Linked DNA regions of Drosophila melanogaster. The protein of the gene in region 1 interacts with the protein of each later gene in a pairwise test. Each region holds a gene or a part of one and is shown on either strand. Other genes may lie near its edges.

Region 1 (5,310 bases):
AGTGAGTGAGTAGTTCGCCTGGAATTTGCCATTTCGTATTTGGTTGCTCCATGCGGAGCAGAACCCGGTCGAATTGGATGGGGCGGTGCCGATATGGGGTCGTAATTGCCGCTTCGAACGGAACAAGACAATCAAAGTTTTGCTCACTACCGAAAACATCGAACTTATCTATCTGACAACTTCCATTGAATAATTCTGTTTCTTTGCCGCCGTAAAAAGCAATTGTAATTAAAACTGGGCCAAAGCGCCAGCTCCTGCGGCGCTTATCATTTCGCTGGACCAATAAACATCGCGCTCGTTCTAATCGCTTGTAAATCAGTTGGAATGCTTTTAGACCCTCTTCATGGCGATTATGTATGTTATTGGGTAGGTGTGAAATTTACAACCTATTTGATGGCCAATCGATGAACAAACCGACGATTATGCGATATCAATGCCGATATGCAATGTCATTAAAGAATCACTCACTACTATATATAGCCAATCCAATTATGTTCATCCGTTCTCGAATTCCAGAAGAATTTCTCTGCATATCACAGTTAGCGATAGTTCAACGCACATCCTAACCACCTATCAATCAATCAATCAATCAATCAATCTATAGGTCCCAGGGCTCTTAGAGCTTAAGTAAAGAAATCTTGAGAAAGTGAAATTGAGAACACTTTCACAGCACTTTCCCTCCGAAACTTTACAACTGCACTCAGGGCATACCAGGCTTATCTAATTATTTATAGGTAAAGCCCTCAGTGTACTCATTTTTCAATTAGCTTGTTGAAAATTACGGAGTATCAGCGACTCCGATTGGTCTACGGCTTTTATGGAGCCCAATCGAGTGGATTGAGTGGAGATCCGTCTGGAGATCAATTTTCCGTCCTTCGGTGACACTTGGCCAGTTCCCTGGCACTAAACACTACGCTATTAGCGGCTGCAAAATGAATGAATGAATGAGTGGTTTTGAGTGTGAATGTGAGTGGCAGGCCTGGTCTACCAACTTCAAACGGCCACCGAAGCGGGTCAATGCTGTACACGTCTGGTACTTGTATATTTTGTATATCTCTGTTTCCCTGCGATAAGGCGCTTTATGTTAATGGATGTTTGATGTGAAGTGTAGTGCGTGCAATAGCATTGTTTCCACGGTTTATGGAGCCATGTGATGGCTGCTATACATTACTGCCTCAAATAGCGGTCATAAACGCTGATAAAGCATCGATGGATTAGCTGCGAACCGATTCTGGATCGCAGTTAGATAAGGCCCATTCATTGGTCGCCATTCGGGACTTTCGCAGTTCGCAGTTCGCTTCCTGAATCATCAACCATCGAACAGATACAGATCCAGTTGTCCGAACATGGCCATGACCATGACTAGCTGCACTAGGCACCAGCTGCAATTACCATTCGATCCACATGGACATGACCATTAAAGCTCCAGCAGACATTTAGACGCAGCATTGTCAGTAATCAGCATGTTGTTTATGGCGTGGAAAGCCATACTCCCAGCCAGTTTGTCAAAGTGTGGAGGCGATCGCCGAGAGAGCTATCTTCCCTAGCTGGGTTATCTGACGCCCGCCACTGGCGTAAACCTCGTAAAAGCTCGGGGCCTAAGGCTGGATAATTTATGCCGGGCCACCGAATTCACACGCCCGCCGTTGAAGTAAAGGCCCGTTCAAATATAGAACAGTCCTTATCTGTGGCGGAGGTGTCAAGCACAAGGCCACAAGTCTCGGTTTCGGTTTCTGATGAAATGTCGCCGATCCTCAGATCACTAACGAATCTCAGTGGCCATATGAAATGGAGCTGCCGGCGGAGCAAGTACCCCTGCTGGGTGGGCTCTCCAAGTTTTCGATTATTGCATTTCGAATTACTAACCTGGATCCTTCTTTCGTCCGCAGAAATACAGCCAGCGGCTGAGCCTGTGGCTGAACCAGAGCCTTCTCCCGCGGCCGAAATAGCTCCTGCAAGTCCCGATGGCTCCGGTCCAAGTGCTGCCGCTGCAGAAGAAGTCACCCCGAGTGTTGCGACCGTTGAAGACACTACCCCGATTGCAGCCCCTGCAGAGAGTCAACCGTCCGGCGAGAGCAACGGCACGGCGGAGGCCAAGAAGCTGCCCGAGATCGCTAAAAAGAATGGCAAGGAGCCCGACCAGAATGACAAGGAGCCCGACCAGAATGGCAAGGAACTGGCAGAGACCAATGACTTCAAGAACGTCTCCGAGACTGAGGGTCAGCAGAAGGTAATCGTCATTGGTGCTCTTTAACAAGTATTGAAGCAAACACTGTACTTACCTTTTCATTGACACCCACAGAAACTGCCCTACCCCAAGTCCGTGTTCTTCATCATCAGTAACGAATTCTGCGAACGTTTCAACTATTACGGCATGAGGAGTAAGTTAATCGCAAAGTATCTTACAATGAAATCTCTGCTAATCGCTCGTACTCCATTCAGCTGTTTTGGTTCTGTATCTGAGTCGAGTTCTGGGCTATTCTGATGATACCGCCACCGTGGTCTTCCATATCTTCACCATGTTCGTGTACTTCCTGTGCGTTTTTGGAGCCATCATTTCGGACTCTTGGCTGGGAAAATTCAAGACTATCCTGTATTTATCGCTGGTTTATATATGCGGATCGGTGCTGCTGACCCTAGGTGCCATTGGACCACTTAACCTGCCCATGGAAACGTTTACGATGTTGGGCCTGGCGTTAATTGCCCTTGGTTCAGGCGGCATTAAGCCGTGTGTGTCGGCATTCGGTGGCGATCAGTTTAAGGTGCCGGAGCAGGTGAAGCAGATCACTTCGTTCTTCTCGCTCTTTTACTTTTCGATCAATGCCGGATCGCTGATCTCCACCACGGTGACTCCAATATTGCGCGAGGACGTGTCCTGCTTTGACGACATTAACTGCTATCCATTGGCCTTTGGAGTACCGGCCGTACTTATGATTGTGTCGGTGATCATCTTCGTTTTGGGACGATCCCTGTACAAGATGAAGCCACCGGCCGGAAATATGGTGGTGCTTGTGAGCAGTACCATCTGGACAGCCCTGACCACCAAATGTAAGGAGAAAAAGACCAATCCGCGGGAGCACTGGCTGGACTATGCCGATAAAAAGTACGACCGCCAGTTGATTGACGATGTAAAGGTCCTTATGCGAGTCCTCTTCCTCTACCTGCCACTTCCGGTCTTCTGGGCACTGTTTGATCAGCAGGGCTCCCGTTGGACCTTCCAGGCCACCCGAATGGACGGCGACATGGGCTCCTGGGACATCAAGCCCGACCAGTTGCAAGTGCTCAATCCTCTGCTCATCCTAATCTTTATACCGTTGTACGATGTGGCCCTCTATCCGGCCCTGAAACTAGTGGGTATCCGACGACCGCTGCAGAAACTCACCATGGGCGGCATCCTTGCGGGCATTGCTTTCATCATTTCCGGAGTGGTGGAGCTTAGCTTGGAGGTGAGTAATTGTTCGAAAATGCTTGTTGGCTTGGGACTTAAAGCTCTGAAAGTATTTAATTGGGAAGTTTTAAAGTATTTTTAACTGCTGTGCTTATATATATTGTATTGTACTGTACCTGCACCTGCACTTTCCGTTTTTCTTTCGTTGCACGCCTTGCTGTCGTTAGAAAACCTATCCCGACCTGCCCTACAGCCAGAACATCCAACTGCGCATCTTCAACGCGGACAACTGCGACTACTTCTTCACTTCGAACATTCCGGGAGCGGAAAATGTGACGGTGACCTCGTTGAATGCCTATACCAACAAGGATATTTACGCACCCGGTTCGCTGGACGTGGAGTTCTCGCTCAGCAGTGCAAGTGAAGCTTGTACCATTAGCGCTGACAAAATACCTAAAGTCCTTACTGATAATACGGCTTGGTCTCTGTTCCTCAATCCGCTAAATGGTAGTGGATACTACTGGGAGGAGGATTTTGTGGACAAGCCGAGCCAGAGCCATCCGCTGATCCGAAACGTCGCTAATGTGCCGCAGGAGCTGTCAATTCGTTGGGAAAAGGCTAGCACGGGAGAGGTGGTCTATGACGACCTGGCTAGCAAAACGTTGCTCACGCGTGTGAATTCGGCGGAGTATGTAGTCATGGTGGGCGAAAGGAACGTCGGAACATTCGATGTTCACACCGGCGGCGTGTACACACTCCTGATTAAAGATAACAACAACATTTACGAGGCCAATTTGGAGGAAGTGACGAGCCCCAACTCGGTAAAGATCCTTTGGCTGGTGCCGCAGTACGTGGTGATGACCCTCGGCGAGGTGATGTTCTCGGTGACGGGACTGGAGTTCTCATACGCCCAGGCACCACCCAGCATGAAGAGTGTCCTGCAGGCCTGTTGGCTGCTAACGGTGGCCTTCGGCAACGTCATTGTGGTCGTCATCGCCGAGGCCGCCTTATTCGAATCGCAGGCCAGCGAGTTCTTCCTGTTCGCCGGCCTCATGTTCGCCGACATGTTGATCTTCATGGTGATGGCCTACTACTATGTGCCCAACGATCCGAACAAGGTGGAGGAGGCCCAGCCCCTGACGGCGGGTGATGCCAAAACAGAGATTCCCGCTCTCGAAGGCGGAGTCGAGAACAAGGGCAAGGACATCAACGAGTAGACCTCAAACCGATTCGTCCTGCTTGCTCCCGCGTTGTGTATTATATATATATATATTTGTACTTGTAGATGTGTATATGTATGTAAATCCTTAGTGGCCTTTGTCCATTTCCAAGCTAAGTGTAAGTGAAGCTGCGACCGGGCATTGTTGCATATGAAAAGACATCCAACTAGTTAATCTAATAAAAGAAAATTAATAATATAATCCGTCGTTGTTACTATTCTTGTTGTCTCTCTATCTGCTTTAATACTCTTAATTGTTTCTTTTCACCTATGACCTGGATTTTACTCAGTATGATAGTCTTATACGATATCATTCCGGAGATTTCTGGTATTGCTCCGATCTAATATATTAGTACCAGCTTGCACGTATATCTTCCACCCTTGCAGCACACTTACCCATTGATCCCGAGCAGTGGTAATACCCAGCTACGCGTCTTCAGCGGTATTCCCGACTGCGATTATCGCTTTAGTACGAACCTCGGAGCCCGGGAGAGCTTCACCTTAAGGGGGCTGGACTTCTACTATTCGGGTAGCGTGGCCACGAACACCGACGGCATCTTCCAGTTAACATACACCGTGGAAAGTTTAACTGAAGGTATGTTACCACGTTATCGCGATCCTCCTATTCAAGAGAACTTGTTGATGTAAGAACTCGTGAATATGTTTAAAGCCCACCATCCTCTTTGGAGCGTTAAGCTGTCAA
Region 2 (4,759 bases), on another chromosome or scaffold:
TATTTCATATTTTAGTTTACATTGGAAATTAATTATTGGACAGTAAAAAAGTAAAAGTAATACACTTAGCTTTAAACTAGCGAAGCATGCTTGAATTTGTTAGTAAACATTCGTTTTTAGATTAGTGGTACGTTCAATAAACATTAAAAAAAAAAACACAAAATTAAAAGTGATAAACATGTAACAAACAATATTGCATGATTAGTTTGCTGTGAACGTTCACTTACTCTCAAAACTTGTGAAATCCCCTTTTGGTATGAATTTTCAATAATAAATTTTATGAGTTCACCTTAAAGTAGTGCATAAGTCAAGTACACTCACCGGCCTTGCCCTTCATCTCGTTCTCCAATGTGCCCTCAGTATCGGCAAGCGGTAGATCCACAAACTGCGAGTCGATCACATTTGCCAGCGACTCCTCGCGCGACCAACGAACGCGTCCATGCTGCACTGCCACGATGGACTCCGAGGTGCTGCTAAACAAAAACAGACAGTTCTTGCCCTCGCCATTGCGCTTCTGCTTACAGTCGAAGTTGCTCAGCGACGGAGTGCCAAAATGCTCGGGGAATGGCAGACTCTGCTCCAACTCCGCTGCCGGTGCACAGTTATCCAAATACAGAGCATTGATCCTGAGGATCTGTTCATACGCACAGGGAAAGAAACAATTAGTTTTCACATAGAAATAGTAGAATAGAACAGTAAATATAAGTTTAAACGTACTCCAGAGGACAGATCTGCATAGGCCAAGACTTTGCGATAGTTAAAGCTGCCCACGGCGAAGCTGGAGCTTCGCAGATCACCGCAGATCGATTGGTCCTTGTTGACACTAATTGGCTTCCCATCCACAATCACAACACCATTCAGACCCTATAGAAATGTTTGGACGAATTATAACTTCACTTACAACAATCTATTACTTCACTTTCAATAAAAGCAATAGCAAAGTTTTTTCCTCACCGTCAAGGCCTGAGTTTTTCCCTTCGGCTCCGCCTCGAGCGAAGTACGGATTACTTGACCGCTTTTGGAAACGAGATCCAAACTAATCAACTGCTTTCCGTCCGTACAAACGTAGAAGGTGCCGCTAAGGGTGCAGCTCTCTGAGGTGATCCAAGGAGCTATTACCTTGCTGGTGCTGCCAGTGCTGTGGCCCGAGCTGGCGAAATACGCCGTCACCTCGAGGTGGCTCCGCCAGGCAGGCAGCACGTGATATAGCACGGATTTGCTGTAGATCCACATGGCGTCCTGGGCCCGCTCCGTGTTCATGGGCATGATGGACCACTCCCACTCAAGGGCACCCATATTGGTGTTCCAGCCGCGCACCAAAGCAGGAGCGTGTCCCTGAACGGTGAGCATGTCGAAGCCCATGTTGCTGCCCATCGGAGCGGCGGCCGTGTCGCTGCTGTCATCGGCGAATCCGCTCACCTGGAGCAGCTTGACGTCGCCGCGCGGCTTCTGCTCGAGCACCTGCCGCCACACCAATTCGCCGGTCTTTACGCACAGACTGGCCACCACTCCCTCATAGGTGGTGACCAGAATCCGCGGCTGAAAATGGTTGAGGTCGACGCGAGACTGCTTCAGTGCTCCCACATTGACGCCTCGCCTGCAAAAGCCGCACATATCCGCCGTATTAGCGCCGGGTCAATGGTCAGATATCGTACCACACTCACCAGTCGAACTTTTTGATCTGGTCTTCGTAGAGCGCCGAGCAGGTGCCCAATAGGAGCGCCAGCGAAAGTGCGGGCAGTAACCACTTCTCCTGCATGTCGTCCGCCTTGCTTGCTGACCTTCGACTAGCTCGATCTCTGATTGTTCAACTTTTGACGTATTTTTATGTTATAAATTAGTAGAAATCCACATCAATTCGTGTTTTCCGTCATGGCAAAAGGGATGAGAAGACGAAATTGGAGCAGGGTTGGCTGACGATTGCCTTATCGATAGTTCAGCGGACTCACATCCGATATTCAAAGCAGTGCGGCTCATCCCCTTTCAACGTACGGCAAACCCATTCGGTCTTCACCTTTATGATTAAATTTGTTGGTAAAAAGATTAAAAAATAAAATGCCTTGCCATTTTGCGGTATACAGGGCTTATATTTCTGCAGATGCGGCTGCAGTGTGAACCATTTTAAATATTCGTCGTGCTCGCAGCGATAACTGTGACGTGAATGCCATCACTAGCGGTGCCCCATCTAACTCCCATCTCTAATGAGCATTTAGTGTCTTCAAAAGAAGTTGTATTTTTCTGGAAAAATCGCATTGAAATGTTTGAAAAGAAGAGCGACAAGGTTAAGCAAGCGGAGCACAAGGCCCGGGATGATGGCGTAGAGCTGGAGAGCCAGTTTATCATGCGCGTGCCGAAGGTAAGCCATACATAGCACAAACAAACATCACAACAAGCCGTGCAAATTGACGGATTCTCCGCAGGAACTGGCGGACACGGTCCATGAGGCAATAAATGCTGGCACCATTAAGGACCGGCTGACCATCCAACTGGATCCGGATCTGAGGTACGGTGAAGTGCGAATAGATGATCAGATACTGTACACGAAACTCGTGGATTTGCCCACCGTCGTCGAGAGCTACAAGACCATTGACAACAAGAGCTTCTACAAGTCGGCAGACATCTGCCAAATACTCATTTGCAAGGAGGAGCGGGAGGACGAGACGGAAAAGGAGTCGCCCAACAAGAACAAAAAGAAGGACCCCAACAAGGTGGACAAAAAATACCTCTTTCCGCACGGCATCACACCGCCGTGCAAGAATGTGAGAAAACGACGATTCCGCAAAACTCTGAAGAAAAAGAATGTCGAAGCTCCCGAGATTGAGAAGGAAGTGAAACATCTGCTGCGCATTGACAACGAGGCTGTCAGAGTTGACTATGAAATCATAAACGAAGAGGACAAGCCAATGGATGAACTGGAGCAATCGGACATCAAACCCTACAACGATGCGGATGACGATTTGCAGGACGAAAGCACCATGCATGCCAGCGAAAAGACGATCATGGAAATGAGCTCCCAGCGGCACCTCCAAGTGGAGTCCGATGATGACGAAGCCAGCAACTTTCCCTCACACCGGGCGCCGAACATGGGAGTTGCTGTCCACGACATCTTCGGCGAGGAAGTGTCCAGCACGGATGACGAGGATGAGCCCGATCGGGGCAATAACACCATGCAGCGGCGGGTGATGGAGGAATCCTCACGACTCTCGGCTGATGATTCACGAATGTCGGACTTCTTTGGCGCTAGTGGCAGTAATACTGGAGCGGGCGTAGTGAAAATGGAGCAGAACGTGTTCAGCAAGTCTATGTTTGGGCATGAAGCCAGCAGTCCTAAGCTCAGCGCCGCCGGATCAAGCTCCAACCTTGCTGCTCCCAGTGGCTTCTACGATAGCCAAATGCTAGCCAAGCGCGAGGAGTTCGAGAACATGGAATTCATAGACGAACCGCAGCCGCAGTACACGCAGCAACAGGTCCAGCAGAAGATCAATCAACTGACGCGCCAGATTCGTGAACTGAAAGCGCAGCAGGTGCAAAAGTCAACGGAAATTGCTTCCATTCAGAATGCCACACTCAAACAACGAATGCAGGAAACGCTTGATAATCTCTACACACAGGTTATTGAAAGGGAATTGGAGCTGAAGGACTTCGAGAATATGCTGGAGTCTTAAGATACAGATATAATACAAATGGTGGACTAGCATAAGTTATAATAAAAACTATGTACATACATATTCGGATGTTACTTCAAACTATTTACGACTTCAACGCCAGTTTCTGTTGTTAAAGTAAACCTTAGACAAGAAATTTTGCCATATCATTGGTCAACTCATTATTTGTGTAAAATTAAAGTGTTTCCTCAGTATTGATAAGAATGATTATTTGCAAAGCAACAGAGCACGACAATTGAATCTGTTTTTAAGTATTTATTGCAGTGGACTTATCACCAATTAATCATCTAAAATTCAAAAGAATCATATCCGAATGCCTCCAGTGCTTGTGGAACCCATGACCTCCTTAGGAAATGGTGCATTGCCGCACAGAGCAACTGGCCTTCGGACCTTGGAGCATACTGCTCGATATCATGCACGTAATTTCATATCTTCGATAGCTAGAGAGAGAAAATAGAGTCTGTTTAATCAATAGTCTAAGTGTCTTTATTATTGGCATTTGCAAACAACAAATTTTAGTGATATTCAAGATGGGCAACAAAGAGTTATGTATTTTGTACTATGAGTAAAGTTCCAGAGGCAAAACCAGACATAAATCGGTGTCTTTTAGCTTGGGGAAGCACGTGGGCTGCTTACTTAAGATCTAATAAGGTAGAGTGTAAATAGGAATGGGTGGGCTGTAATGCTAGATAAACTAAATGCAAAATTTGTGACAGTAATTCCGAGCCCTCTATGGCTATTTATACTGCAATTTTTGTTATTTCGTAGTGGGCAATTGCGTGCAAAACTGGTTTCCAAAAGCCTTTTTCGTCTTTTGGCACTTATGAGCTTCAATCGGTATCACCAGCTCAACTCATCGGGCAGCCCACCGGGATATTCACCAGTGAGACAGGCGGTGCAGTGGCCCGTTCCCTTGGATTTACTATCGCCTGCATCGCGGTGCTTTAGTTGGACAGCCTCCACTAGTCCCTCCACACTAAGATAAGCCAGACTGTCGGCGCCCACATGCCTAGCTAGTTGGTCGGGGTTCAGCTTGTTGGCAATCAATTCCTCTCGAGTTGGAATATTTATACCCATATAGCATGGGTACTGCA

The links. The genes of interacting proteins can lie anywhere in the genome.
Region 2: the proteins of CG2930 (region 1) and Taf7 interact in a two-hybrid assay, tested with the Drosophila melanogaster proteins (one large-scale study listed by BioGRID).

The regions. Positions count from the first base shown.
Region 1 is NC_004354.4:3,874,013-3,879,322, forward strand, and holds CG2930 (uncharacterized protein), read left to right. Parts: upstream 1-1,753; 5' UTR 1,754-1,788; coding exon 1,789-1,822; intron 1,823-1,889; coding exon 1,890-2,230; intron 2,231-2,302; coding exon 2,303-2,381; intron 2,382-2,442; coding exon 2,443-3,446; intron 3,447-3,615; coding exon 3,616-4,605; 3' UTR 4,606-4,805; downstream 4,806-5,310.
Region 2 is NT_033777.3:7,905,464-7,910,222, forward strand, and holds Taf7 (TBP-associated factor 7), read left to right. Parts: upstream 1-1,869; 5' UTR 1,870-2,034; intron 2,035-2,098; 5' UTR 2,099-2,161; coding exon 2,162-2,356; intron 2,357-2,420; coding exon 2,421-3,665; 3' UTR 3,666-4,258; downstream 4,259-4,759. Other genes in the region: EMC1 (ER membrane protein complex subunit 1), read right to left, coding at 228-248, 322-634, 718-864, 955-1,597, 1,665-1,759; Prat (phosphoribosylamidotransferase), read right to left, coding at 4,506-4,759.